Oryctolagus cuniculus: one gene and its partner. The protein of the gene in region 2 purifies or fractionates together with the protein of the main gene of each other region. This does not show direct contact. Links are inferred from orthologs where the notes say so. Each region holds a gene or a part of one and is shown on either strand. Other genes may lie near its edges. The genes, in order: POLR1D and POLR1F.

Region 1 (16,284 bases), on a different chromosome or scaffold from region 2:
GACAGCAGATGATGGCTCCAGTGCTTGAGTCCCAAACTGAGTTCCTGGGTTCAGCATGGCCCAGCCTAGGCAACTGCAGACATCTGGGGGGTGAGCCAGGGAATGGGAGATCTCTCTCTTTCAATTAAATAAATTTTTAAAAATATTTACAAAATCGACTGAGGGGAACAGGCAGAGGTGTTTAAGACAATTCCCTAGATTGAGGGCTAGCCAACTAATGTTGTTACCAAAGCAATCCAAGGACAGACAATAGCAGGGTTAATCTGATCAGGGGGCATTACCTGGCAGATACAACACAAAGCCAAATTCAAAGAAGGCATAGAGGGTTGGCGCCATGCTTCACTTGGTTAATCCTCTGCCTGCGGCGCCAGCATCCCATATGGGCGCCAGGTTCTAGTCCTAGTTGCTCCTCTTCTAGTCCTAGTTGCTCCTCTTCTAGTCCAGCTCTCTGCTGTGGCCGAGGAAGGTAGTAGAGGATGGCCCAAGTGCTTGGGCCCCCACACCCTCATGGGAGACCGGGAGGAGGCACCTGGCTCCTGGCACTGGCCATGGCGGCCATTTGGGGGGGTGAATCAACGGAAGGAAGACCTTTCTGTCTCTCTCTCTCTCTCACTGTCTAACTCTAAAAAGGAAAAAAAAAAAAAAAAAAAAAAAAAAAAAGAAGGCATAAGTGCCAGTGAAAGCAGATTCCAGGTACCCAAACCAGGTAGGGAGAGGGAGGACTGCAAGGCCAACAGAAGTCACTGCAACAGAGAGGAGCAGTGGGGTGGAATAAAGGGATTGGCAAAGCAGGACTCTGAGGAAGGGCTCTGTAAGACAGTGTGGGCAATACACAGCTTCCTCGTGCAGGAGACAGTGGTATGTAAGTTTAAGGACTCTAATGTGGAAAATCTGGGGAACTGACAAGGTACCAAATAAATGTTAATGACACGGTAGAAATGAAGGTCACCGAAGTTGAGGAACCAGGGAATTCGAAGACAGAGGTTTTAGTCACTTTGCTTTGAATGATTTACCTGTGACTGAATGTCAAGATTTTAAGTTCTCCAAGGACACACACACAATCTTGCATGCCACACAGTCCAGTGTTGATCACAAGATGTATGTTAGGGACTTGTTATATATAATTAAGTTGAAAGCCAAAGTTCAAACAGTAAAATCACATAGGAGAAAAAGTGGCAATGGTCACATTATTGAAATAAGATTTAAGTGAAAGGCTCCAATTTATTTGTTCAATAGTTATTTGTGTGGTTTAGCTGATAAGCGTTCTGATAAAGAATTAAATTTTAAATTTAATTTAAGATTGGCAGCTAATAATCCCAATCTGGAGGAAGGGTGTGTGAATAGTTTCAAGACTTGCCTTACTTTTATGTGGAAAACAAAGTAACAATTAGCGTTTTCAGGTCCTTAGTAGAGCTAAGTACATCCTATTTTACATAAGACAGGGGTCTTCAAAACTTATTATAAACACTTTTTTACAATGGCCCCAGTTACACACTTTAGGGAGTTTTGTTACTTAATCAAACTACAAGATTACTCTTTCAATACAGAAAAAAAACTAAAATTTCACTGGTTTTACTGTTGAAGGCAATATGCTTTTTAAATACTTTCTAGCATGTTGCTTGTCTATTATTTTCTATACTTGCTTCTATTTGTCTTCTCCTACTCAGCCTAATATTGAGGAAAAAAAATAACTTTTTCTTCACATAATTAGTTCACTGAGGGATACTGACTGCTAGCAGTAATAGTCCTAAGTCTCCAGGCTGTGAAGGAAGCTAAAAGGTTAAGCCACTGCACACAACACTGCCATAGCTATCTTTCCTCTATCGGAAAAGACTCCCAAAGACCTGGCGTTTTGCTGACGACCCAGAGAGGTCAAACTTCCAAGGCAGCTGTTGTCAGTCTACCTCGGAATAAAGCTGTATGGCTATATAAGGCTGTTCCTCCTTACCGCACTCCACAAGTATGGCAATAAAAAGGAGGTTATGCAAGTAATTACTGCATCTGGTGCTAAAACAGTTGAATCATGACAGCCATCAATTCTGTTACAGTTCCTGCGTCTTCCAGTAAGTACATGAAGCACTTGAAGCTTCCTTGTTCAATCAATTCTCTCTTTTCCTCTTATCAAAGATTGGAGAAGTCTGTGAGTCAATACAGATCAAAGCTAATAAATCCAATTCATTCATTTTTATGTAAATTAATATCTTCTGTTCCATATGCTTTGAGATTCTGCAGTAAGCAGAACAGATGGGATCCCTGCTCTAGGAAGCATACTTTCTAAAGAGCAGAACCTACAATGCCTGCTTCCTTAAGAGCACCCTAAATAACCACAGGACAATTTATTATTGTAATATACCATCACGAGCATTTGCTTTTTAAAAATAAAATCCTCAGAGATCAGAGTTGGGGTGCAACAGGTTAAGCCACCACCTGTAATAATGGCATCCCATATGAGTCCTGGTTAGAGTCCCAGAAGCTCCACTTATAATCCAGCACCTTACTAATGTGCCTGAGAAAGCAGAACATGGCCCAAGTATTTGTGCCCCCACCACCCATGTGGGAGACTCAGATGTAGTTTCAAGCTCTTGTCTTCAGCCAGGCCCAGCCCTGGCATTGGGGCCATTTTGGACGTGAACCAGCAGATGGAAGATTAATCTCTCTTTCACTCTCTCTCTCTGAAACTGTGCCTTTCAAATAAAAGTTTAAGAACTTTTTTTAAAATCCTCTAATAATGTCCCATTAGACTAATATAAAAATAGCCATTTTTTTCTGAATTCAATCAAGCAAAGAAACTTACGTAGCCATAGATTTTTCTCTCGCTTAGTACTTTGAGGGAAAGAAACAAGACAAGACAGCTAAAGGGGATTTGTTTGGTAAAACTTCCAGGCCTTGTCACAGGATCACCCTAGGCCTGTTTTCTACAGGCAAGATATACGCATTATGTTTTTCAACCAACACTGCTTCATAAGTGGTGTGGAGTCTATGAAATGAGATCTTCTCTATCAAAACCCAACAAGGTCTTTGAGAAACCTTGTTGGGTTTTGATAGGGAAGGTGGGCTTGGAAGGAACTGTGGTGCAATAAGCAAGAGGAAAGGCTAAACGGCTCTGCATAATAAATTTAAATGTATTTTGATTTTTGGAGGGCAATCAGAGAAAAAAAATGGAGCAGGGAACAGTGCCAACTAGATTATATGAGCCTGGAGTTTTCCTTTGTTGGTGGCCAAATTCCATTTTAAGCATAGAGACACTTGCTTTTAAATGTTAACACTCATGGTACCACTACACTGTAAATCTCATTTGCTTCGTTTTCCCCCAAATCTTCCATAAAGTTCAAAGGCTTTGTGTGAACTCTTTTTTCCATTCTTTTCCAGCTCTTCCTGGACATATGTAATCCAACAACTGCTCTTCAAGCATCCAACTCGGTATGTTGTGGGTGTATCCAAAACTGACTGTGTTATCCTGCCTTCCCCACCTCTACCATAAGCTGTTTTTGTTTTTTGGTTTTTTTTTTTTTTTTTTTTTGACAGGCAGAGGACAGTGAGAGAGACAGAGAGAAAGGTCTTCTTTTTCCGTTGGTTCACCTCCCAATGGCCGCTGCGGCCGGCGTACTGCAGTCGGCGTACTGCAGTCGGCGTGCTGCGGTAGGCGCACCGCGCTGATCCGATGGCAGGAGCCAGGTGCTTCTCCTGGTCTCCCATGCGGGTGTAGGGCTCAAGCACTTGGGCCATCCTCCACTGCACTCCCGGGCCACAGCAGAGGGCTGGCCTGGAAGAGGGGCAACCGGGACAGAATCTGGTGCCCCGACCGGGACTAGAACCCGGGGTGCCAGCGCCGCAGGCGGAGAATTAGCCTAGTGAGCCGCGGCGCTGGCCTATAAGCTGTTTTTACTGCTCCTTCTTATATCCCCTTGCCCTCTACTCTCTCACTAATGTCATCATCACTAAAGGAACAACTAATATTTATTAAGCACTTGACTGTTCCAAGGGAATTTACATGTGTAATTTCAGTTGATCCGCAAACACTAATAAACAGGTACTAGGATCATCTCCGAAATGTTAGGAAATCCAAACTCGGGACAGGAATCCTAAGGGAAGGTGACAGAATTAGAATTCAACCCCTGTTCTGACTCCAAAGCCAGCTTAACCTGTATACTGTACATGCCAATGCCTCAAGTCAGAAAACCCAGGCATTATCCTTGTCTCATTAGTCTTGCCCACTTACCTAGTCCAGCCTCCTAGCCATACCTCCTAAATGCCATATCACCTGTCCTGCCATTGCCTTCATACAGAAAGACAATTAGTATATACTAAGTCCTCAATGCATGCCACACACTATTCTAATATACAGAATTTTGGGGTTTCTTTTACATTTTAGTCCCTCGAGCCCTATGAGATGAAGAACCTACTGAACAAAGAGGTTGTGCAGTAAATGACACAGCCAAGTTCAAACCCAAATATCTAAATAAAAAGCCCCTGAGGACTTAACCCCTACATTCTAACAACCTCTGACTTTGTCTCCCTACCTCCCACCTGGATGCCCATCCTCCCCCAGGCCACTGCAGATATCTTTCTGGAACGCAAATGTTATGATATTTCCTTGCTTAAAAATTAGCAGCTCTATATCACTGACTGGATGAGGTCCAAATTTTCTAATTCGTTATGCAAAATCCTCCATTTTTCTGCTGAAGTCAGTTCAGTAAGCATTTGAGTGCCTGCTGTAAGCAAGGCAAAATGCTAAGTCTGAAATGAGTAACATACCACCCCTGACTACTACTTCAACTACAGACACTGTGTCCCTTGGTGAAGCTGACCAAACACAGATTTCATAAAGCAACTCTCTAACACATGCAGCCACTTGCAAGGGGCATGTATGTCAGTCCCTTGGCCTAGGCTGTACCTGGTAAAATCCCACACCAACCTGAAGAGTGCCCATGTGAGGCCTCCTCTAACAAACCCCAGGCAAATGCTCCATCTTCTAAGTTCCCATAGCACTTTGTTCAAGTTACTTTCTGATAAGCAGTGGACCAGAGGTGAGGACCAGCTTCCAAATGAGAGTTCGAGCAACTTCTGAGCAAGAACTGACCCTGCCATCAACGCCTGGCATGCAGTAGGCATTTTATCAGTGGTTTGAATGAATAATGAAAAATTCCAAAATTTCATGAAGAGAGGAACAAGATACAGAATTAAGAATGTTGACACACAAGTGGGCCAAATAAAGAGCAGAGTTATTCTACTTTGGCTCTGACTTGGCCTAGATTTTATCCCTATGGGAAAACTCACATATGAGAGTTGGACAAGCTAAAAAGGCCAAACTTTGTTATTCCTGGCTCAACAAAGCTCTGACAGGCCCAACAGGATACTAGATCCCTCCTCCCCCTTCCTCCTTTACCTGCCAAAGTCCTCTTTCCAAAGGGCTGTGGGGGTGGGAAACAAATCTTTCAAAGTGCATTAAAATTGATCCACTGGTATCCAACTGCATCAGTGCTGTGTCACAGTGTGTGCAACAGAAAAATCAAAATCTTTCCTGGGAAGAAGGCCAGTTTGCAAGTAAGTACTATTGCCTCAAGAATGCGAAATTCCTAGTGAGGCCAGTTCCAATAAACTGGAGCTCACAACTGTTCCTCCTGCCCTAAGACCACTTTTCTTTCAACTTCGTTTCTGATTCTTGTGATTTAAAAAAAAAAAAAAAAAAAAGGAAAATCTATACAGGGAAGCCCATGCATGAATGTACTTTAACTCTAGGCAAATCCAAAAGTCAGGATCCATAACTGAAATACTATTAGAAACCCTACATCTAAGTTGGAAGTAGTTGTCTAAGACGTGGCATAAAGAGAGGGATGTGTTTCCTGAATGCCTCATGTTGCTTTGTGTGCAATGCTTCCAAATCAAGATCCGTATTTTGAAATTACCCCCAGGAGTTCGTCTCCAGCCTGAGGATTCCTGGGCAACAGGCTGGGGCCGATGTCCCTCCACTGCTTTCCAGGGGCACGAAATCCGACGGGGAAGCAGCTGGAGCCACACTCATTCCCAACACACACGCGAAATTAAAAAAAAAAAAAAAATCACCACCACCTCTGGTCTCCCCTAAAGAGCAAACGACGCAAAGATCCGCACCGCGGTGGCCAGAACCACCCAATGCCAAACCCCGGGCCGCCCGCCTTCCACTCGCCAGCCGGGCGCCGGGCGCCAGGAGCCAGGCGCCGGGCAGCCGTCCCCTCCTCCCCGGACCAGCCTGGCCAGCCCCGCACTCGGCTCCGCGCTGGCCCCGCAGCCCAGGCGAGCAAACGGAGCCGAGGAGGACGGCGGCTCGAGCGCGGGCTGCGGCGCTGCCCCACACCCCGCACCTGAGGCGGCTGCCGGCAGCCGGCGAAGAGAGCGCACGGCGGGGAGGGCAAGGCAAAGTTACTCACTGGGAAAGCGCGGCTGCCCGGGGCGCGCAGGGGCTCCCGGCGCCGCAGCCAGGCGCCAGCTCCCGCTCTCCGCGGCCCGCCGAGGGAGCCGGGAGTCGGCCAGGCTCCGCTCCTCCGGGAATCGCCGCCGCCGCAGTCGCGGGTTTCCCGGCAAGAAGCAAACTCTGGCCAAGACTTCACTTCTCAACCGCCCCTGCTGCCTTCCCGGGGGCGAGCGCCGGGCTGAGCGGCCCAACCCGACACGCTGCTGGGCCAATCGGCGGCGCCACAGGGCGGGGAGGGGGCGGATCAGAGGCGGATCCACCTATCAGAGAACGCAGGGGGCGGACCAGGAGGGGCCGTCATTCCTAGGTTAGAGTGAACCTACTCCGTCCCTCGCCCCTCGCCCTCCCCCACCCGCCTGGGGCTGTCCCCGCCGCTCGCCTGATTCCTCTGTGGAAGGCGCTCGGCAAGTGTGTGAGCGAGCGCCGGGCAGCCGCGGGGACAGCGGGACAGCTGAGCAGGGGACGCACGGAGCGGGGTGGGGGGAGGTCGAGGGGAACAGGTGGCGCGGGAGAGCAGGCGTGTAGGTGTGCTGGGCGAGAGGACAGCCGGGGTAGAGGGCAGCGACCGGGGCTGGCCGGCGTTAGAGAGGTTGCGGGAGCCGGGGGTGAGCAGCGGGGAGCAGCACTGAACACTCCCAGAGAGGAAGGGGCCGGAGAGGGAACCCCGCCGAGGAAAGGCTGCCGAAGCGGGGTAGGGGACGCCTGGGAACAAAGATGAGAGGGAGGTTCCCCGGGGGTGGGGTGCAGAAGGGGTAAAGAAAAGGGTGGAAGGGAGGTGCATGGCCGGGGGAAGGAAAGGACGGGGTGGGTGAGTGTGCTCCCAAACTCCCACTTCTCCCCTAAGGAAAACGGTAAACGCTTGTCCTGTGTCCCGGGGGAGATGCTTAGCTGCAAGAACCCCACTGAGTACTGTCTTGAAGCACCACGTTCTGTTAACGAGACTCAGCCCCTCCTATTTAAGGACGGTATAGCCCAAGCCTGCGGTCCCACAAGAGGTTGGATTCCCGGGAGGCCACAGGGTTCCAGTCGAGTCTAGCAGGCCGGACTTGGGTCCCAAGAAGGGAGGTGATGTGGGGGCGGCAGGTAAGGCCCTGCCCCCTTCGCCACCAGTTGGGGAGACGGTACCAAAGGTGGAGCTCGGGCGCACGCACTGTGACCGGGGCCTCCGGGTGCGACGCCAGCGGGCCCTCCGCCGCCCTCCTCCCGGCTCGCCCCGCACGCCGCCAGGCTGGGGGCGCGCCAGGTGAGCGGCTCGGGCCCGGCGCCACCGCCCTCCTCGCGCCGGGGGCGGGGCCGGGGGCGGAGCCTCCACGTCCCGCCCAGCGCCCGGACCCTGCCGCGCCGCTGCGGCTCCTCCTCCCTCCTTCCGTCGCCGCCTTCTTCCGTCCGTCGTTCCTTCCTTCCTGCCTCAGCCGCTCAGCTCGCGGCATGGGGCAGAGCCTCCGATCGGCCAGCACCACCTGAGGATCCTGGAACCGGCACCCGCGATGGAGGACGACCAAGAGCTGGAGAGGTAACGGCCGAGAAGGCGGGCGGGGCGGGCGGAGTAGGCCGCGCCCAGGCAGGGGAGCGGGCGGTACCGGGCACGCGGCCCGGCCCGGGCCTAACCTCCGCGGCCCTGCAGAGCAGCAGGGGCCCGACCCGGGACGCTGAGAGAGGGAACAGGGCCCGACGGGGAGGAGAAGGGAGGAGTCGTGGATGTGTTTGAATAGAGGCGCTCCGAGGGACAGTAGTTCTCGAGGAGGGCGGACCAGTTGGCAGAGCAGAGTTGGGTCCCGAAACTGCCCAACCCCGTTAGAACAGCGGCGTATTCAGTCCGGCTTAAGCCCCCCCGTCACTACCGCTCTCCCTCCTCCTCCGTGCAGACTGTTAGCCGTGTAGCCCTGCCTCAAAGCGCTGAGTTCTGTTTCTCCCTCCCGCTGTACTGTTTCAGCTCTTACCGTTTCCTAGCTTCCTTACCTCTTGCAAGTGGAAGCCATAGTTGGGCCTGCACATTGATAATCTGTAGTCTCTGTTTATATGCTGGAGCAATCTTGTGTTTTTCTACACCTTCAACTCCCTTTTCCTCTTCCAGCAGGGCTCACCCTATGCTATATCCCTTTCTTGTGACTCTTCCAAAAGAAATGTCTTTGCAGACACTTAAGTGTATGTTTTTCTAAGAAGATGCTCCGTGTGGCCCACGTGGATAGTTAATGGAGCAGGGAGAAACTGGAGTCAGCAAATTAAATATTCATTGGTAGAAGTGGTGGAGGCAGAAAAGAGAGAGGCTGACAGTTCTGTGTGTAATTGCTGTGGATTAGAGTAATGATGTGTGGCAATTGTGATATAGTAAATGAAAAAAAAAGCTAGTTACAATATTCAGTATGATCTCACTTTTATAAAAAATATGTGTGTAGAAAAATGTCTGGATTGAAGACCTCAATGGCCGAAGGCGAGAGGAAGACAGCCCTGGAAATGGTCCAGGCAGCTGGAACAGATAGACACTGTGTGACATTTGTTTTGCACGAGGAGGACCATACCCTAGGAAATTCTCTGCGTTACATGATTATGAAGAACCCGGAAGTGGAATTTTGTGGTTACACTACGACCCATCCTTCAGAGAGCAAAATTAATTTGCGCATTCAGACTCGAGGTGCTCTTCCAGCTGTTGAGCCATTTCAGAGAGGGCTGAATGAGCTCATGAATGTCTGCCAACATGTGCTTGACAAGTTTGAGGCCAGCATAAAGCACTATAAGGATCAAAAAGCAAGCAGAAGTGAATCCACATTCTAGTCCCTTGTGCAGGATACAAGGAGGACTAATCTCTGGGATACTCTTCTTCATGATTGTGCAGAACCCAGAATTAGAAGTTTGTGATTACAACAACCTGCTCTATCTTTCCAAAAAAAAAAAAAAAAAATGGTTCTAGCTGTTGACCCATTCATCACAGCTGTTGGAATCCCCGCAAGAACCTGTGTATTCTCCTAATAAATTCCCTCTTTTATTGAAACTATTTTTGAGTGGTTTCTGTTCCTTGCAACATCCTCAAGGATGACTTTATTTGCTTGCAGTAGAGCCAACATTTAAAGTGATAAAACAGAGCATCAGGCACCCAAAATAGTGGTTTCATCATGGGAATCAAAAGGAGTATACATTCCTGACTAGGATTGGGGTGGTGAGGCAAAGAGGAGATGGAATAGACCATTACGCAGATAGACTGGTGGGTTTCAAAAAGAAAGAAGGTCAGGATGTGGACTTGGCTTCTTAGATATTTTACTGATGAGAAAGTTGTATCCTTTTCTCTTAGGGGATTGGGTAAGGTTAGGGAATAATTTGAAAGAATTTTGAGAATTCTGGTTTCACATGAGGGTCTCAGGAGTTATCCAGCTCCATCTTTGTACCATCTATAGAATAATTGTTTACTGCCTGAGGAGAAACCTGGAATGAGCAAATTACATTTTTAGTCTAAGTAGGTATCCAACTGTAGCCTAGGGTCATATAGAAGAAACACTATTTGAGAGAAAGGACACAGAGGGAAAATACCATGTGGAGAAAATGACTTGGAAAACTTGAAATATTAGTGAAATCACATCCAAGAGCCATTGTATCTGTCTACATCTTCAACATCTTTCATACCAGTCATACCAGAACTTCCTTCTTCAATTATCCTAAATACCTGTCAACCCTAGAGCCTGAGCACTCCCATATCCCAATGCACTGTGCTTTGGGGCCTTAGTTGATCCTATTTATTCGTGTGATCCTGGGACCTAGCACAACACTGGACAGCAGGTGGACACTTAGTAAATATGAGATGAATCCCTGTAGGTAGTTATGGCATGTTAGCTTTTCAGTAACTCTTAGTTGAGCTGCCCTAGAGCCTCTTTAAAGATATTTATTTATAGAGCTTCTGGTTTGTACCTTGGGGATAGGTATAATAGTGAGACACAATAAGTGTTGCATAAGAGAAACAATATTTTTAAAAAGTTGTAATTCTGGGGAAGAAAATACAATATCAAGATAGAAAGCATGAGAGAGAATTTTGCTTTAGGTATGGAAGTCAGGGAAGCTCTTCCCAAGATTACAGGAAGAGAAGGCTCTCATGATGGAAATTAACATTGTGAGGGAATAGCATGTACAGAGGCCCTGAAGCAGAAAACTAGTGGTCTGGGAAACTGAAGGTATTGAAGGAAGATTTGATTGTAGGCAAGTAGGCAAGGATGAGGCCTATTCTCTGGACTGATGGGAGAAAGCTGGTGTGATGGGAATGACCTCTTGATTATAGTGAGGGGAAATGAATTATAGAGTGGTCAGATTAATGCAAAGACAGAACTGTAAGAGTTGAAGCAGCCTGGTACAATTAGAAGCCTATGATGGGGGAAAGAGTAGAATTTGGAACTGAATTGGTTGTACCAATTCAGGGATTGGATATGGAAGATGAGAAAATAGAAAGATGACTTACTGAGGTTAGGGCCCTAATTACTGAAATGAGAATGCTCAAAGAGGCAAAAAGGATGGGAGGTGGGAAAAATGATAGGTGATCAAATTTCTTCTTTGAACTCCAGAGGTTGTATTTATGTGAATTGAAGGTCAAGGAAGAGATCTAAGCTGGAGATAAGCTAATAAGATGATAATCCATAAAAAGTGAGTGACAGAGAGGTGGGCCCAGGACCAAGCACTTGAACAACCTCAGTATTAAAGTTTGGATAAAAGAGGGGCAACTGGTGAGGTGGTAGGAAAATGCAGAAAGTAAGAGTTGTGGAAGAGTTTCCAAGAGGGGAGAGTGATGTTGGATGAATCAGTTGAGCACAAAAAAATAGTTGGAGTTAAGGTGGAGGTCGCTGGAGGATGGACAGGGTTAGGGTTAATTTAGTGCCAGAGGGGAGTAAACACTCCTTCTCCAGAGGAATTGCTTAGTTTGAGGCTTCGCAGACAAGGAAAATTTACAGAGGATAGTGGAGAGGTAGATTTGGGTAATAGCAGGGATTAGGAAAGATCAAAAACATGGAGCAAGGAGGTAGAATATTTTCCTAGGGCAATGTAGATTCTGGAAAACCAATGTCAGTATACGGGCATTAGCACTTAAAAGATGCAAGGACACCCAAAAGTGCGAAGTAGAAAAGGAACAAAAATTTCTTTGCCACTCCCAAAATTTTGCCCATGGTTGGACCTGTAGAAATAGTAAACAGGATTCTTTGCCTGCAGTTTTAATTTCTTTGAACCAAAGCCTGTCAGGAGATGGAAACAAAATCCAATTAGTAAACACAGAATGATCATAGTAGACTGAACTAATAATAAAGAGTATACATGGAAAAGTGCACCCACAAGTGACTACCCACCACATTTTGATCATGCCTAAAAGGGTTTATTGTCATTGATCATGTGGCATGTGGTCTTGAACCTGGGGTAGCCTTGAACACAGGTTCATATAAAACACCTTCAGATGGCAGATGGGCCAAGGGAAGAAACAGGGCAGGATAGCCAAGTGTCCCACATATGTGAAAGGAATCACTGTGTGAAGTCTAGGAATCGAGGGAAATCTCACTTTGTCTACACAAGGATGAGGAAAAAGGATGTGTTATATTTGTATATTCTGTGAGAAAATACCTTGATCATGTCTCTGATTTGCTCTCTTACTAGCATTTCACAAAAATCATTCAAGGTCAGAAATTCTGTTCAGCTGTGAATTATGCTTTTTAAAGAGCCAATTATTCAACAATATGATTACATACCAAAGGCTTTTAATACCTAATTCTGAGTACTTACCTAGCACTTTCCATTTTCAAAGCACTTTAAAAACTAATTATTTATAAATTGCATGTAGCTATAACACCTAAGTGTTCTAAATTAATAGACATAACACACAGGTTCCTATAAAATCTCTGTGGAGGTGAAAAGGTGTCTACATAAAAAATGACCCAGTCAGTACTAATCCAAAGTGTGTCTTGCATTTCAAGAAATACGAAAGCATATTAAGTTCTGTTTCCCACTCTTTCTGTTTCCCTTAATTATTTGTTAATATTACAGTCTGCAGATCACTGGACAAAAGTCATCTTTTAGGTTAGCATAATTTAGAGTTGGAGGCAATCTTTGTGCCACCTTCAAAATGAGCTCCCAGAAGTTTACCCAAATCTACCTGTCTGCTTTGAAGTATTTGTAAAGGCCTGCAGTTCCAGACCTTTTCCACTCAAATTCTCAATGCTGATTTTCATTTTGCTACTTTTAAAATTCATAATCTGCTGCTATAGTTACTGTGTGGTTATGTATTTTTTTCATAATGCAATTCAAGAGTTGTACATATGAAAAAGAAAACAAATTGTATTTACAGTGAAGTGACCTAATGTACTGTACAGGGGATTATGACTGGATGTACAATGGAATAGATGAGAGATGATTGAAGAATTGATTGTAATGAGCTCCCACTCTGCCAGTCACTGTCTTGGCACTGAGGATAGCAAACCAGACAGGCACAGTCTGCCTGTTAGTAACTCACAGAGTTAGAAAGTTGGCATAAAATTGTGTTGCAGAGTAAATGATTTCCTCTTTCCCAGAATAAAGGAGCTATTAATGGTGCTTGAACTAGGAAGTGTCATAAGTTTGGGTTTTTTGACCCATGCTTATGCAGAAAGGATGATTGGAAGGAAACACAGGAGGACAGCAGGGAGTTAGGTTGCATTTGGAATAATCCAGGGGTAATGAAAGGAAGGTATAATTGTAGCGATGGAGATAAAGGATGAACATAAAACTCTGCTGAAAAATAAGTAACTTAAGAATCAGATTCTGTATAGAATTAAAGGTGAGAGAACGGTTGAAAATGACCCCAGAATTCTTGGGAGCCCCATATCCATGTTCACTTACCCCTTTATTTCTCTGCCATTCCCTCAGACCAAAAAGCACACCAGTATTTACCATCTCCTCTCCCCTACAGTCTGTTCCTACTTAGGAGAGTCAGTGGAAATGGGAGCTGTAGTCAGGAATAGAACTCAAATACTCTCAATAGGATATGGGCATCTTAACCCTAGGCCAAATGTCCACCCCTGTTCTATAATATTGACCAAGTACTATATGCAGATGCAGTTTAGGGACTAGGAATACAAGGAACAGGTTGGCTCACATGTGGTTTATTTTCTAATATCAAAGACAGAAAATAAAGAAACATGGATACATATATAATCCAATTTTAGTTAAAAGAGGAAGTGAAAGAATGATAGCAGTGAGAAATTGAACAATTAGTGACAATTAAGTCATTTATTTGAAAGGCTGAGTTACAGAGAGGCAGAGAGAGAGGGAGGTCTTCTATCTACTGGTTCACTCCCCAGATGGCCACAACGGCCATCAAACCAGGAGCCAAGAGCTTCTTGTCCACCATGCAGCTGCAGGGGCCCAAGGACTTGGGCCATCTTCCACTGCTTTCCCAGGCCATAGCAGAGAGCTGGATCAGAAGTGGAGCAGCTGGGACTTGAACCGGCGCCCATATGGGATGCCAGCACCACAGCACTGTCCCCAAGGCTGTATCATTTGAGCAGAGAAAAGGAGACCAAAAACGAGAGTGACGCCCAGAATTTTAAAAAGAAACCTTAATATTATGAAACTTTTGAAAGAAATAAGCAGTTTAAATTTGTGTCTCTGTATGTGTGTATGTTTTTTGTTTGTTTTTTGTGTGTGTGTGGTTTTTTTTGTTTGTTTGTTTTTTTTGACTGGCAGAGTTAGAGACAGAAAGTTCTTCCTTTTCCATTGGTTCACTCCCCAAATGGCCACCACGGCCTGTGCTGTATTTCCTCCTGGTCTCCCATGTGAGTGCAGGGCTCAAGCACTTGGGCCATCCTCCACTGCCTTCCTGGGTCACAGCAGAGAGCTGGACTGGAAGAGGAGCAACTGGGACAGAATCTGGCGCCCCTATGGCGACTAGAACCTGGGGTACCTGAGCCGCAGGCGGAGGATTTGCCTAGTGAGCCGCGGCGCCGGCCATGTGTATGGTTTTTATTAGCGCCTAAATGTGTGTTGCTTTTAATCTATGTGTGTATTTTTTAAAAATTTGAGGGGCTGGCTCCCTGGCATAGTAGGTTAATCCTCTGCCTGCGGCACCAGCATCCCATTTGGGCACTGGTTCTAGTCCTGGCTGCCCCTCTTTTAATCCAGCTCTTTTGCTATGGCCTGGGAAAGCAGTGGAAGATGGTCCAAGTGCTTGGGTCCCTGCACCTGCATGGGAGACTGGGAAGAAGCACCTGGCCACTGCTTCGGATTGGCACAGTTCTGGCCATTGTGGCCGTTTGGGGAGTGAACCAACAGAAGGAAGACGTTTTTCTCTGTCTCTCCCTCTCACTGTCTGTAACTCTACCTCTCAAATAAATAAATAAAAATCTTTATAAATTTTTTAAAGATCTTTAAAATCTTTTAAAAATTATTTGAAAGGCAGAAAGAGAAAGAGACAAATACAAAAAAAAAAAGATCTTGTATCTACTGGTTCACTCCTGAAGTAGCCACAACAGCTGGTGCTGGGTCAGGCCCAAGCCAAGAGTCTAGAGATCCATCTGCGTCTCCTATACATGGGTGATGGGCCCAAGTACTTGAACTATCATATGCTGCTTTCCCAGGCACATTAGAAGCTGAGTAGATGGGATTCAAACCAGCATTCCAACATAGGATGCTGGTGTTACATGTGGTAACTTAACCTGCTGTACCACAATGCCAGCCCTCGGAGAGGGATGTTTTAACTATTAATTTAGATAACATATTCAAAGTGCTTTAGGATAGTGCCTGACATGTGTAGCATATTCTCTATCAATGTGAACAATTAATGTTACGAATTCTGTTAAGCAAGCTGATTTGGTCGTATTTCTTGGTGTAAATTTTGAAACAAAAAACCTTAATGGCCTTCTGGGGTTTTTTAGCCAAAGACAGCACTTTTCTACAAATCTGAGGTTACCAGTCTGTTACAGATTTTGAGTAGATATTTTAAAATAGCATTCCTATTTATAGAATAGAGATAAAAGTGAAAGATAAATGGATTGTGTTTCTCTTCTTTTCAAAAATAAACTGATTCTGATGGAACATTCCTAATCCTTCCCAAGCTTCAAGATAAAGATTAAGAAGAAGGAAAAGCAAATCTAGCAGATGGATACCTGTTTTGGTGCCAGGTATCTAGAATATTGGTCAGAGGCCAGGGCTCATTCTGGGTTGGTGAGCCTAAAACTGCTTAATATAGACTTTATTGATATTTTCCTCAGTAAATTCTCTGTATGTTAGCATATGTCAAAAAAGAAAACCTATGTGGGTGCATTTCTAAGTTTTTGCTTCCTGACTTAGGTAAAACCTCAAAAAAAAGAAAAAATATAGAAAATACCTCAACCAATTCTATTAAAAGGACTCTAAGAGAAAGTCAAATTGCCTGGAGCATCTAATCAGGCAGAGTCTGAACCACCTGGCTTAAATAGCAGTTTGGGGTTGGGTTTTTGTTTTTATTTCAAGGGTAGGAAAGACTTGTCTTTTCCCTAGAGACCTTTCTTTGAAGGCAGTGTCATATAGAGGCAAAGGTAGGGACTGAATTTGGAGGGCCTGGTGGCTCCATCACTCAATGGCTTATAAATGTGAGGGAATCTACCTTTCTGAGCCTCAGTTTCCTTATCTGTAAAATTGGACTAATAAAATAGCACCTACTTCATAGGACTATTGTGATGAATGAGTGGTGGTAGAATAATAGTCTTCACAGTATTGGTTGTGTCTCATTGACCACAGGAGCCCTCAGGGCTTGCTCATTTGAGTTGGCCATGTCTTCTTTCCACGTTTATCACCTGTGACTGGTTACCAGGCTGCCTGACTTCTTTAAGTTATGTTGAGCTGTTCCCTGTTTCTGTTCT
Region 2 (15,081 bases):
ATAAAACAGAACATAACAACCACTCAAGACTGATGCCTCCGACTTAGGATTCGCAATGGCTCCAGCTTGCAATCGGCTGGTAGATTCAGATGCTGATATATGGTTTAGGATGACTCTCCATTACTCTAAGGCTGTTACTTCTATTTCAAGCCTGTTTTTTCACTGAATGGAGAAGTAACTCAGTCAAGGATCAAGGATCCTAGGAGGAAAGAAAATTATTCAAAAGGAAAAAAAAAAAACTTCAGGGGTGGCTGTTTGGCATCATGGTTAAGATGCTACTTGAGATGCCCACAATCTATATCAGGGTGCCTAGTTTTGAGCTCTGGCCCCACTCTTGAGTCCAGCTTCCTACTAACACACCGTGGGAGGCAATGAGTGATGGCTCAAATACTTGGGTTCCTGCACCCATGTGGGAGACTATTCCATGTGGGGAATTCCTGACTCCCTCCTTTGGCCAGGGCATCTGACAAATGAGTGAACCAGTAGATGGGATAGTTTTTTTTTCTTTCCTTCACTCTCACTTTTCCTGCCTCCCACAACACCCCGTATGTATCCACCTGTAAACTGTAAGTGGAATAAATTTTTTAAAAAAGAAAATTTCCTCATTTCAAAATGTTTACGGGGATAAGAATATTATGTGTACTTGGTAACTGGAGTAGAAACCTCATTCTGGAATGTCTTTCAGGTAACAATGATTCCCTTTTCTTGGGAATTGTTCTGGCCTCTAACTCCTCTTTCATGAATCTGAATGTCAGGCAGCCACGTTAGTAACACAAGAGTGGATGTCACCCCCAGCTTCTCAATCCTGGGAACGTGCAATTGGAGCTGAGGCAGGGGACCCACCTCCTCAGGGCTGGGACAGCAGAACGGCTGTGAAGAATGCTGTGTGACAGCAGCTCTGTGTGCTTTCCAGTAACTTCCACTCGTTCCTTGAGGTCCAGCTGCACTTTGAACCACCATTCCTACGGGCACTTCTGAGTTTTTACAGCAACTTTCCTGTCTGTGTTTATTTGCTAAGTAAGTTTTAGTTAAGTCCCATTTGTTTGGGAACAAAGAATTCTAAATTAAGATGTATTTTTTTCTGTGAAATTCTTGTTTGTCTCAACAAAGCCTGTGCAAGTGGAAACACTAACCTGATGGAACTGCAGAATTTGGCTCTGAAAAACAAAGTGAAACAATAAAATGTTCTATATTGTTTGCATGTGGCTTGAGAGGGAGCAAAATTAGAGATTTTTTTCTAATTTTAAAGTAGATTTAGGAGGTTCTTTTCTAAGATTGGATTATGCAGACCCTTGGCCTACATTCAAGGGGAGACAACGATTCTGCCCACTGCATCTCTTGAGCTGAAGGGGTCTACTTGGTTCCATGGGCATCTCTGCACTTCCATAACAATCCAGCCTCAGAGTCGTTACAGGTTACAAGTGTCGCTCCCCCTCTTCGTGGAGGAGCGACACTAAGCCCTGCCTAGGCTTCATATCCGAGTCACGGCACCATTATGTCGCTCCCCGTCTTCGTGGAGGAACGACACAGGACCCTGCGCTGTTCTTTCGTCTGCTCGGCCCTCCCCGGGTTTGCTGCTGGTTCTTCCCGGGTTGGCTACTGTCCCTTCCACCTCCGTGGAAGGGCGGTTCCCCCTGCCACCTTCCCCACTTCTGCGGGGGAGCGGCACACCGCCGGCCGGCTCTCTCGGGGGCTGCACAGGTGTTCCTTCAGATGTTCCTGGTGCATGTTGTCTCTCTCCTCCTCTATAGTCCTTTTCCACCAATCCCAACTCTGCTACCCACACGCCGAGTATGCTGCTCTCCTCCAATCAGGAGCAGGTCCTACAGTTTATTGGTTGAACTGGAGGCAGCTGTGTAGAAGCTGTTTCCCTTCTCAGCGCCATATTGTGGGAAAGCAGATGCATAGAATAAGTCTTAATTCCAGTAACTTAGTCTAGTCCAAGTTGCTCCCAGTTGCTCCCCACAACAAGGAGAATGGAGGGGATGTCTTGGTTTATGGACCTCAAAAGTCCAGGAGGATGGCTCTGGCTTCCAGTCGACAGATTGTAGGATATTCAAAGAGTCTTATCTCCTGATGCCCTTTGTCTGGTTATCTTCCCCACTGTGTTGTCCTGATTCTCAGTGGGCTCACTCCACATGACACTCACAATAGTCACTGACACCTTTAGATCCTACAAACACCTAGAGATCTATGTTAGTCTGATCCTCTGAGAAGCACACCCTAAATGTGATTAAAACATGCAAAGGTTTAATTAAGGAAAATGTATTATGCAAGCATCCATGAAACTGTGGCAGACTAATTTGTTATTTTACAAGTAGGGTGAAATTTCAGACTCTTCACAGTTTGTTTGTTTGTTTGTTTGACAGGCAGAGTGGACAGTGAAAGAGACAGAGAGAAAGGTCTTCCTTTTTCTGTTGGCCGGGGCGCTGCGATGATCCAAAGCCAGGAGGCAGGTGCCTCTCCTGGTCTCCCATGGGGTGCAGGGCCCAAGCACTTGGGCCATCCTCCACTGCACTCCCTGGCCACAGCAGAGAGCTGGCCTGGAAGAGGGGCAACCGGGACAGAATCCGGCGCCCCGACCTTGACTGGAACCCGGTGTGCTGGTGCCACAGGTGGAGGATTAGCCTAGTGAGCCGCGGCACCGGCCTTCACAGTTCTTTATGTATGAAAATAAGTGAAATGAGATCCAGGTACATAATATTACTGCTAATAGATGCCAGTATAAATGATGCTGAGGATTAGGAGGTAGAAAGGAACTTTTAGACAATCTAGCTCTCAATTCAATGTGCTTATTTTACAGTTAAACACCACACTCCGTGGAGTTAAAGAAGATTGTTTTAAAGTAAACTCCACGTTGGTGAACCACTGCCATTTAACATGCAAAGTTTAAGAAGTAATGAACTAAAAGTTGGATATGTGTGCCTTGGAGCACTATGCAATGAAGTATTTGTTTAATTATTCATTTGGAAAATTAACATTTCTTCAATATTTCCTGCATATATGCATAAATACTCCCATTTAAACTATGGTGTATTTTTTGATGCCTATAAGGATCTCCTTTAACTGGTAACTGTAACATCCAAGACATTCCACTATTATGAAATACGGTGGGATACAGAATTAACAGGAACTTCTTTGATCTATTAGATTGTATTTAGAGACTTCCTTTCTTGCTCATAATCTCATAAATAAATGTCTAGGTCATTTTATTTACTAATACATTCTCATTTAAAATTTTAAGTCCAGCTGTTAACTAAGACAAGAATTTGGCAAGGTATTTCATCTGTCCTGGCTTTTCCTTTTCGAGTCAATAAGTACCAGAGCATTTCTAATTATATCCGACAAATATGGAACTAATTACCTACAACTATACAGACTACAGCTTATTTCCATTGAAATTTTGGTTGCAGAATTGTTTGCTGATGCTGCTTCTATTCTCAACCACTCTAATTTTATAGCTCACTAAATTTTTGTCTTTCAGAATACTTTCAAAGACATTCAGGACAAGTTATCAAATAAATGAGAATAAGTGGGAACAGGTTTAGCATTCTAATGTTTGAGAAAATGCAACTGAGACTTAAGATGTTCCAATGTACTAAATATTTATTTGAAAGAAACAGAAGACAAAACAATGCCACAAAGCTATTTACTGCTGCCAAGGCAGATCTGGGAGAGAAAATTGTTTAGACCAGACACCCGAACATCTTTTTTTAGTAAGAGTCAATATATACTGAGCTGAACATTTCATGAACTTTCCGTGAATTACCCAGGAGATACGACCAAAAGAAGGTCACATCACTTGCAGAGTCATCCATGACTTTTCAATTTTATTCTTACTGTACAGTATATAAAACCTATTTTAAAACAGTGCTTTGTATATTTAGAAAAACAAAGACATTCTCTAGTGCCTAAAGAATCTTTTTTTTCTTTTACAAAATAATAAGTGCTGGTTCCAAAGGAAATTTCAACTTCTAAAAGTAGAAACCAGAGTTCACCTATGAATACTGCAATGTACAATACAGCTAGAAATTAACAACTTCAAAAGAGCAACTAACAGAACAATGTGGGGGCTGCGGGGCAGCTGTTCAGGAGTTTGAGGTAGCAGGTTAGGTTACCAGGGCTTACATCACAGTTTAGGATGCCCACATCGTATATCAGAGTGCCTGGTTTGTGTCCTGGCTATTCTGCTTCTTGTCCAGCTTCCTTCTAAATGCAGGTTATGGGAGGCAGTAGGTGATGGCTCAAGTATTTGATTCCACGCCAACTGCATGGGAGACATGGATGTAGCTTCAAGCTCCTGGCTTTGGACTGACCCAGCTCAGGCTATTGAGGGCGTTTGGAGACTGAATCTGCAGATGGAATCTCTGACTCCTGGACTTTCAAATAAAATGAAAATGAAAATGAAAATAAATAAGTAAAAATAAAACAATGAAACCTCTTGGAAATTTTAATATTCTTCTAAGTAATCTTTGAGTCAAAGAATTCAAAGGTGAAATTTCAGATTATCTAGACATTAGAAACAATGAGAACACTACATATCAAGCCTTAGGCAGCGCTGTGGCATAGCACGTTAAGCCACAAGGCCCACATCCCATATGGGTGCCAGTTCGAGTCCCAGCTGCTCCATTTCTGATCCAGCTCCCTGCAAATGGCCTGGTAAAGCAGTGGAAGATAGCCCAAGTGCTTCAGCCACTGCAACTATGTGGGAGAAGAAGCTCCTGGCTTTAGCCAGGACTGTTGTAGTCATTTGGGGAGTGACTAGCGGATGGAAAATTCTAACTCTGCCTTCAAATAAATAAATGTTGAAAACAACAACAAAAAAGGGCCAAGGGGATAGATACAAGACAGAGAGGAATATTTTTGGTTCAAATGCTTCTGTTAGTAAATGATAAAGCTTTTAATTAATGGGAACTAAGAATTTAACCTAATAAGCCAAGAGGATTGGAAGGTGGGGAAGAAAAGAAAAAACACACACAAATATAGGATTTTTTTCCCACAAAAGTGGGAAACCTGGTAAATAAAATCAGTGGAGATTTAAGAAGACTAATAAAATAAGCATATTTTAGAATGTCTGGCCAGTCAGGTTAATATAGGAAATCAATCACTTTCTTTCATGCCAGTGAGAACCAGACAGGAAATGTAATGGCAAAAAAATTAATTAATTAATAAAAAAATCATTAGCAAAAGCAATACATGCTACAAAATACAAAATTCCTGAAAATAAGTTTAAGACATATGAAATACCTTAAAAGACAAAAATTTAGTACCACTGAAGGAAGGAACAGACTTGAATAAACAGATTTGCCATGTTTATTGCTAAGAAAAATTAAGTATTTTACAGAATTCAATTGTTCCTCAACTTCTCAATTTGGTGTAGTTCCAAATTCCCTAAAAGCTTTTTTTCCTAATTTTACAAGAAGAATTCTTTCAAAAGATGTATTTGTTTGCAAGGCAGAGCAACAGAGTGATGCTACAGAGAATCCTCTATCTGCTTGTTCATCCCCTTGTCCCCTACCCCCACTCCCTAATGGGCACAACAGCCAAGGGTAGGCCATGCCTAAACCAGAGGCTAGGAACTCCATCCTCATCTCCCACTTGGGTGGCAGGGGCACAACTACTCGGACCATCATTCACTGTTTTCCCAGACACATCAGCAGGTAGCTGGACTGGAAATGTCGAGCAGCCAGAACTTTTTAACTGGCACTCCAATATGCTAAACTAGCATTGCAAGTGGCAGCTTAACTTGCTGTGCCACAAAGTAAACCCCTCAGGTTCCACTTTTAAGTACATCTGGAAAACTAGAAGAGAGGAGCCAATATAATTTTGAAAGCCAGAAATCAAAATGTAACATAAAGCTGTCTATTAGTTTTCTATGGCTATTTGACAAATTGCCACACATTTAGTAGCTTAAAAGAACACCCAAGGGACGGCGCTGTGGTGCAACTGGTTAAAGCCCTGGCCTGGAGTGCCAGCATCCCATATGGGTGCTGGTTCTAGTCCTGGCTGCTCCTCTTCCAATCCAGCTCTCTGCTATGGCCTGGGAAAGCAGTGGAAGATGGTCCAAGTCCTTGGGCCCTTGCACCCATGTGGGAGACCCGGAAGATGCTCCTGGCTCCTAGCTTCGGATTGGCGCAGCTCCAGCTGTTGCGGCCATCTGGGGAGTGAACCAGAGGATGGAAGATCTCTCTCTCTGTCTCTCCCTCTTTGTAACTCTGCCCTTCAAATAAATAAAATAAATCTTTAAAAAAAAAAAAAAAAAAAAACAACACCCAATAGTTCAGTTTTCTATAGGTCAGAGTCTGACAAGAAAAGGGTTCTCTGCTCAGGATTTTACAAGAACGTAATCAGTGTCAGCCAGCTGAGTTCTCTGGAGAATCTGGCTCTTTCTCATCATCGGCAGAATTCTGCTTCTCATGGGCATGGCATGGAAGTCCTGGCTTTTCTGCCAGCTTTGGCTTTAGGGCCACGTGCCCCACCTCACTCTCTCTCCTACCCAGTTCTCCTCATGCTTCAAATCTCACGTCCACTTCTGCTGCCAGCTGCAAAAGAACTGACTTCCAGGGGCTTATGCGATTAGGTTAGGTCTAATCACCACCCTATCTTAACACAACCAAGCATGGGGGTGAAATCTATTTTGGTCCTGAGGGTGACTGTGGGAAATCTCAGGGGCCTCTAAGAGTTCTGCCTACCATAGGGTAGTTAACAGTGCAGCCTTTCAGAACACAGCTGTACATCAGAAGAGAATCAGGACAATTAATAGGGTGTAGAGTGTGGTATAGGCTAAGATAATTCTTCAAATCAAGAGAGAAAATATGAATTAACAAACTGGAGACATGTGGAGCATCAGTGTAGGAAAAACATGAATTTTTGTAGCAAAACATATTCCAATTTCATATGGGCTAAAAATTCAAATGTAAGAAAGTAAAATGATAAATATAAGAAAATATGAGTTTCTTATAATCTCGGGTTGAGAAATGCCTTTTTAAGAACACTGGAATAAGAAAGATTACTGATGACATGAAACCAAACATTTCTGAATAGCAAGTCGGAAACTTAAAAATATAAAGGACTACAAAAATTGAACATGAAAATTAGAAAAACATTATTATCCTAAGAATATACAGAGCTCTTAAAAATGAGCAACAGAAACATCCCACAAGAATGATCACAGAACATGAGAAGATATTCACAGGAAAATAAGTGTATACACAAAAGTGGCTAAATTCATTAATACCAGATAAATTACACACTATTTCCACCTAATAGACTGTTGAACAGTAAAACAATTAGCATCGTCCATGACTGCAAGGTTGCCAAGTAGTAACTGCTAATAGGATCTCAAGCTGGTACAGTTTTCTGGATGACAATCTGACAATATATCAAAAGGTAAAACTGTTTATTCCCTTAAATAACTATAATTTCACTTCTAGGACTAGACCAAATTTCTTCCACTTGGAAGTTTTCCACCTAAGCTATCAATAACAATAAAGGGACTTGAAAACCACATCACATTCAGGCCGAGCAATGAATTCATTTACTGAAACAATGGGTGAAAATGTTATAAATATCACATCAGAGGGAAAATGATACCATTTGATACTGTGCGTTTAATTATCCACTTAAACATTATCTGTTCATGCTTGCAACATATAAAGGACTCACTGCTAAATAGTATAGATGGTTTAAGTGTTGTCACAGACCTTAGGGAGCTTATTTGGTCAAGGCAAACATGATCAAGAGACACTCTTCAAAAACAGGAGAACCAGCTTGAGACAATTATGCAGACTGTTAGAGTAGAAAACAACCAATTGAAGCAAGATATTTTGTTTTAGCCCTGTGCAGTATAGAAAACCTTTACGTGGAAGTTAGTATCTGCAGTCTTCGGCATCAGATGCCCCTCAGGCCTCTGCAGGGCTCTCAGCCAGAAGGCCACAACCCTTCCTCAGCTCCCTTGGTCAAAACACTACTCATCCAATCACCAGCCTGAACACTACCCTCTACTTCAACTGGCCAAAGTGGCTCTCTGCCTGTTCCCATGTGAGATTCCCACTTTCTGTATTTAACATTTACACTTAGCTGTGTACCTTACCGACAAAGCGCTTCTGAAGAATATTATGGAGGACTCTTTCACTGGTTTCTTATCAGAAAAGAGGTCCCTACAATTCCAGGCAGGACAAATGGATAGATCTGACTTTTCGGTTACCCACGCTGTGAAAAATCATAGACAAATCTAGTTTCAAGTTCAGCATGTTGCTTCCTTTTTTCTTCAAAGTTGCAAATTATTTTAAAATTACAGATTATTAGCATTAGTACCACTTGAAGCAAAAGTAAAAGTAACATGAGAGTATGGTTATGTTGCTAAGCCACAATTTATTTTTCTGTGAATAGCATAAATTAGATATCTTTGTGTGGTGTGTACACAATAGGGGGAGTTAAATTTGTTTCACTAAAAATAAATTTTCTACATTGTTGAACATGGTTACAATTATAAATTTAAATTTTACAATTCAGAAGAAGCAGTTATTAAGCATATTCAGGTGTGTCACTGTATTAAACCTTGATAACATAACATTTCACAACTCATACTTCCTTTAAAAGCACTGAACATACCAAAACGCCTTCTGTGCAATTTTTAATCTTTTTATAGAAAAAGAAAATGAAAAATAAAGGCTGAAACTTTATTATTTTATTTAAGCCACTATACCAAAACCATTACAATTTCAGCAGTATAAAAACTGAGAAAGTTAACATTCTTTTTTGTATATTCTCAAAATCTGGCATATATTTTATACTGACATCATGCTTCAATTCAAACTAGCCACACTTCAAGGGCTCACCAGTCATATGACTCTCAATTGTACTGAAAGACGTTGGCCTGCACAGTTCCTATGTACATCTGAAGACAATGATGTATACTGTCCACCACTCTCCAGATTCTATATTCTGCAGGTTTAGATAAGGACATACCACCAGCAGAATTTATTCATCATCAGACATTAAACTGTGAGACTCTGTCTGATCCTAGATAAATGGTATCAAAAATGGTTGACACAGGGAATTCATCCACTTCTGGCAAATACTAACAAAGTAACAAGTATACAGTTTTTTTTTTTTCTTCAAGGCACTTAATAACAATTACTAACATTCCATATGTTCCACATTTTCACAGATGTTGCTCCTGCAATGGAAGGTACCACATCTACCTCATTTGCCTTATATCTCTGGGCCGTAATACAACATTCTGCACTTAGTAGATGATCAAATATCTGCTAAATGAATGAACATGGCTGTGTATTATTAGCCTCCATCAGCTTGTCATTTCACTGCTCTGTGTTCTGCAATTAGTTAAGATCTATCCCACGTTATCACAGTGAATGGCTGTTTTCGCTCCTGAACAGTTTCCAGTGGCCTGTCCCAATAATGAAAAGATATTTCCCATAAGTCACAACCACACTGATCCTGTCTCTGTCAATTTCTCCTCCAACACACAACAAGGTCCAAACAGCTAAGGCACAAAAGACAAGCAGAAGCACACTGCCCTTTTCATCAACCTCAGGCTGGGAAAAGGAAAACAACACAACCGCGGCTGGAAGGAAAGAGCTGTGGACAGTCAGCAGTGGTGTGGGTAACACTCTGGAGACTTCAGAAGCCCTGTGGTAAACCTCTCTGAGTCAAACAGCAGAAATACTGTGGAAACCATGACAAAGGAATACCTAAAGCTCACAGATGTCCTGAATTAAAAAAAAAAAAAAAAAAAAAGGCAAAATAAAATGATGTGCAATGACTCAAGGTAATACTTATACCCCCCCCCCCCAAAAGAAAAATTAAAAAACTCCAAACTCAGGTTGTTGTTTATTGATGTGAACAACAGTGTATACTACAGTTCTCTGTCAGTCTTGAGATTCTTAAAACAATTTTATGTAGAATGTAAAGCCTGGAAGAATGTTAAAGTCAGCAGAGATAGCAGCACTTTTCTGTTGTTCTCCATATAATAAAATGGCCTTCAATAATATTGGGATTCCTCAAAGAAATTTATAGCCAATTTTGTAATTTCAGCCCAAAACCACTCCAATTCCAAGGCAAATACTTCCTGTTTTGTAAGCTACTGGTACACATAACCATTTCATGTCATTGGAAACATTCACTCAGCTCTTTTGTATAAATCAATCTTTTAAAAACTGAGTATATTTAAAATTCACTAAAGAAAGTTACTTTTCCCTCTTCTTTTTAGGTGAACATTCCAAAATTGGGGTAAGTTCAGTCTCCTCTCTGTGTTTTCTCTTCTTCTTTTTCTTTTTGTGGTCACTCTGGTAACCACTAGAGTCACTGCCTTGGAAAACAGGGTCCTGGCCCACATCTTCCTGATGCTTCCTCTTCTTGCTCTTCTTCCTCCGTGGCTCCTCCTCCCAGAGGCCATTCGCGCTCTCAGCAGCCTGCAGGTCTGGCTCTTCATTAGGGGTGACGTCTGCAAACTCCACTGGCTCTGGGTTACCACTGTCCACTTCACATGTCTCTGGATCTTTCTTCTTTTTCTTTTTCTTTTTAGCAGGTTTTTCAATGGCTTCTTCAGTGCCAGTTTCTGTGACTTCTTCAGAAACTTCAGAGCACTTGGGTTGTAAACTGTAATTTCACAGTTTAGAAACATTAATTGAGCAAACAGCAAAACTGAAAGAATGAATGAGATCAAGAATACCCCCAAATGCTAAGATTTTCTAAATAAAGAGGAGTAAACAAGGCATATGCTACAGCATCATTTTCAAATTATCCAGTTCACTGAAATGGCAGTTGGTATTGAATGTGAATTCAACAATGTTAAATTTAACAGTAACAAATTTTTTGTTTCTGAAATATTTCTCCTGACTGTTCTTACATACAAAAATGACAAAAATCTTTTGTCAAAACACATCTAAGAAATTTCACTTTGGCTCAGAAAAATCTGGTCACTGAACATTAACACTATTTGCCAAACCACTGACATTTGATTAAAAAAAATACATTTCCAGTATATATCAGAGTTTCTGGTCCACTATTTCAGTCTTTATTTCAAATTTAAAATAACAGTCTGTCATTCTAGTTAGCTTACCTGGAGGCAGTATTACTTCAAAGTTAATTATTTTATATCACTAAAATAAAACAAGGATTTATGAAGTAGCTTTATGCCCAGAGCTGCATAGTTCTATGCAGTAACACTCTCCACAGACAACTATTTAAATTTAAGTGCTTCTAATGATGTGGCTTAAAACATTTTGTTCCTCAGTTACACTGGTGACATTCCATGCACTTAATTGTGAAGCTTCTTTATGGTGTGTATAGCACATTACTAACATTCAGAAATCCCTATTGGACAGCTGTTTCAGAACTTCAGCTCATACTCTGGTTACTCACTAAGGTAAAATCTAGGAAAAACTGTTAACATCTACACTATTTTTCAGATAGTGTCCACTTTCTCCTCCATTATTAACCATGTTCCCATGGAACCAAGCTGAAGATCAGAGTAATTCATATAAGAAATTCAATATAAGGAAATACAGAAATCAAAATATCTACCTGGCACACAGACGACAATAATAAAAACAAATTATCTAGTTCCAATGATGTAAAAATAAAAGTAATCTACATGTTATACAACATGATTGTGCAAATAGTAGTTTCAAGTTCAGAGCTCAACTTCTTTAAAAAAACAAACTAGAAGATATGAATGATATACTTTTACTCAAATACAGACTAGCGAGCAAGACACAGAACTTTGATGCATTGTCATACGGCTTATGATTACCGTTTAATACTGACATTATGATTTAAAAGCATCACTATTCTTATATATGTTTAAAAGCGAGGTTATGAATTCTGAACTAAGTAGAAAAGATTAAGTATCCCGTGATAATAATGTGACGGACTAACCTAGTGACACTCAGTTTTCCCCGAATGCAGAATACTCCAGCAGCATCGGAATCTAAACGAAATACTTCAAACTCCAGTTCATCACCCACGTCTATCTCCAGGGTTTGCCACTGCTCAGAGGACATCTGCTCAGGTTTAGGGATGGACGCATTAAAACACCCGTGCACTAAACAGCCGATGTGACTAGTGGACACTTTATTAACTGTACCCTGGGGAGAAGGGGGAGGAAAGAGCACAACAGAGATTCACAAGATTAAAAGGTGAATCAAGCTTTCTAAGTTCCAAACAGATCTTCAAAAAGAAAACATCAAATTAAAGGTATACATTCAGCACAAAGTTTATCTCAATTAAAACTTACCACATGTCGTAACCCATAAATCGTACTTTGGAAATTTATATTCATTAAATAAAAGTTAAAAAAAAAAAAAAAAAACAAAAACTTACCGCATGTCAAACTATAACATCACCTTAGAACTCTAGAGTTTTCCGACAGTTCAAACTTTAATAAACAAATAACAGGAAGCCAAGTGTCTAACTGGATAAAACACAGATAGTCCCTTCCACAGCCTTCCTTCCCTCTACCAACAAAAGACACCTCTCTCCCCTTGCAGGATTCCCTGGGGAGCAGATTATGTGACAACCACACTGAAAACATGCTCTGATAGGGCTTACACTCTAGGCAGGGAAAGCATACGCTTTTTATAACTGGAATCCATAGTACTTGTCTATAAACAGTCTGAAATTCAGAGATTACAAGTGTACTCTTTAATGATTCAATTCAGAATGATATCAGCAGTCCTATTAGGAGATAGCTTACCATGTATATGAAAATCTAGACCATAACAATTTTGGCTAAATAACAAAAATATTGGAGGCTTTAAAACTAAAATAGAAGTCATGTGCTATAGGATTTTAAACTTAAAGTGAAACTTTCCATAAAACTTAAGTTTTCTATCCTCCCATCCCTAGGAATCAATGTATACAATGTGTATGAATGACAATCCTGAAACATTAAAAAATTCACATTTTCTAGATTATAGAACCATATGTAATACTGCCATGTATGCAAATCTGTATAACATCAGCAACCCTTAAAAAATGTGACAGAATAAAACTCCCCTATTTGTTATGATCAGGGTGTAGTCTCCCCACTGTGGTTTTTGAATAGTCTAGATAAATTAAGGTGTACCCACAGAACGGAGTACTACTCAGCAACAAAAGGAAAAGCACTGCGAAACCACAGAAAGACTGGAGGAAACCGAAGACTACCAAGTGAGAGAACCAAAAAGGCTACATACTGTATGTTCCCAACAACTGGACATTCTGGAAAAGGTAAAACCATGGTGATAGGCAATAGATCAGTGGTGGCCAGAGACTGCGGGAAAGGAAGGGGTGAACAGGTGGAGCACCAAGGTCTAGGGCAGTGCAACTATTCTGTAATGGTAGATACAAGTCATTTTATATTTGTCAAAATCCACAGAAGGCACAGCACAGACAGAACTCTAATGGAAACTGTGGGCCATTAAACCTCAGACTGAAATGTAAATAAAAAATATGCTATCTCAAAAATAAGAAATAAAATACTGTTTAAAAAAAAACCTCTTTTCTAACAATAGGAAAAAAATAAAAAGCCAATATTGCCTCAAAAACTGTAACAAAAAACTGTAACAAATAGATCACACAAACCAAGAGAAGATGATGCTAAGATGATGTGTGTGTGTGTGTGTGTGTGTGTATACTGGGATCCTGTACAAGCTACTTAACCTTTCTGTAAACCTAAAACTGCTTTACAAATACTCTATCCCTTACAAAAACCAATGAGAGGAAAATCTTTTGAATTCCTAAGTTTGGAACAACTGGAAAGTTTATGGACAAGAAAATGGTCTTACCTCACCTAGACACAAGAAATTATTTAAGACTGATCACATACGCAAATTGAAAAACGAAAACCATAAAGCTTCTAGGAGTTCACAGAAGAGTATCTTCACTACTCAGGGGTAGACAAGTTTCTTTAATAAGATCCAGAAAGCAATAACCAAAAAAATGTAAAATGATAAGGTGGACCTCATTAAAATTAAAAGCTCCTCCATCAAATGATACCATTAAAAGTTAACAAATAAGTCACTGACAGGGAGACAATATTCACAATACTTTTATCTGAAAAGGATTTATATCAAGACTATAAAAGGAGGGGTCAATAGCAGGTAAAGCTGTTGCCTACAATGCCAGCACCCAATATGGGTGCCGGTTGAAGTCCCAGCTGCTCCACTTCCGATCCAGTTCCCAGCTAATGGCCTGGGAAAAGCAGCTGAAAACAGCCCAAGTGTTTGGGCCCCTGCCACCCTTGTGGAAGACCCAGATGAAGCTCCTGACTCCTGGCTTTAGCCTGACCCAGCACTGGCTGTAGCAGCCACCCGGGGAGTGAACCAGCACTCTGTGGCTTGGACTTCCAAATAAATAAATATTAAAAAAAAAAAAAATAAATGAAAATGACAATATAAAGAATATTAAAACTCAGTAACGAAAATACAAAAATTCAGTGGAAAATGGGCAAAGTCTTGAAAAGGCATTCCTGTTCAAACATGGAAAACTGCTCATAAGGAAAAGCAACGGGATATTACTATATGCCCACAAATAAAAATAAAAGATTGACAACACCAAATGTTGGCAATCAATACAGTAAACGGAAGTGCTGAATGGGAAATTAGTCTGACAATAATCTTTCATAAAGGTAAAGATAAACTTACCCTGCTACACAGCACTTCCACTACCAGTTTACTGAAGAGAAATAAAAATGTATATTCATTATTGCTTCATTCATAATAGCCCCAGATTGGACATAACCCAAATGTACATCAACAGAGATAGTCAATTTGTCATATATTCATAAAATTGAATACCATGAACAATAAAAATAGGCAAATTACTAACACAGAAAATATCATAGGCAAAACAAAAGCATGTTGACCTAAAGAAGCCAGATTTCAAACATACAATGATTAAATCCATCAATATCAAATTACAGAAAAATAAAACAAATTTATGATCAATGAAGTCAGAACTGTAGTTGTATTAGGGACAATGAGAAGGAAGTGACCAGAAAAGGGCCTGAAGGTCTAAGGAAACAGAATGGGAAATGAACTTGACAAAACCCACTGAACTGCACAATATCTCATT

Evidence for each region.
Region 1: the proteins of POLR1F (region 2) and POLR1D purify together in Homo sapiens (affinity purification with mass spectrometry; 3 studies listed by BioGRID and IntAct, counting the BioPlex papers as one, with this or other methods). This does not show direct contact. The link is inferred for Oryctolagus cuniculus from reciprocal best matches to the Homo sapiens genes POLR1F and POLR1D.

Annotation. Positions count from the first base shown.
Region 1 is NC_091440.1:86,889,798-86,906,081, reverse strand, and holds the start of POLR1D (protein POLR1D), read left to right. Parts: upstream 1-7,785; 5' UTR 7,786-7,938; coding exon 7,939-7,964; intron 7,965-16,284.
Region 2 is NC_091447.1:11,733,144-11,748,224, forward strand, and holds the end of POLR1F (DNA-directed RNA polymerase I subunit RPA43), read right to left. Parts: intron 12,114-15,081; coding exon 11,905-12,113; intron 10,624-11,904; coding exon 10,212-10,623; 3' UTR 8,354-10,211; downstream 1-8,353. UniProt on the Homo sapiens protein: Component of RNA polymerase I (Pol I), a DNA-dependent RNA polymerase which synthesizes ribosomal RNA precursors using the four ribonucleoside triphosphates as substrates.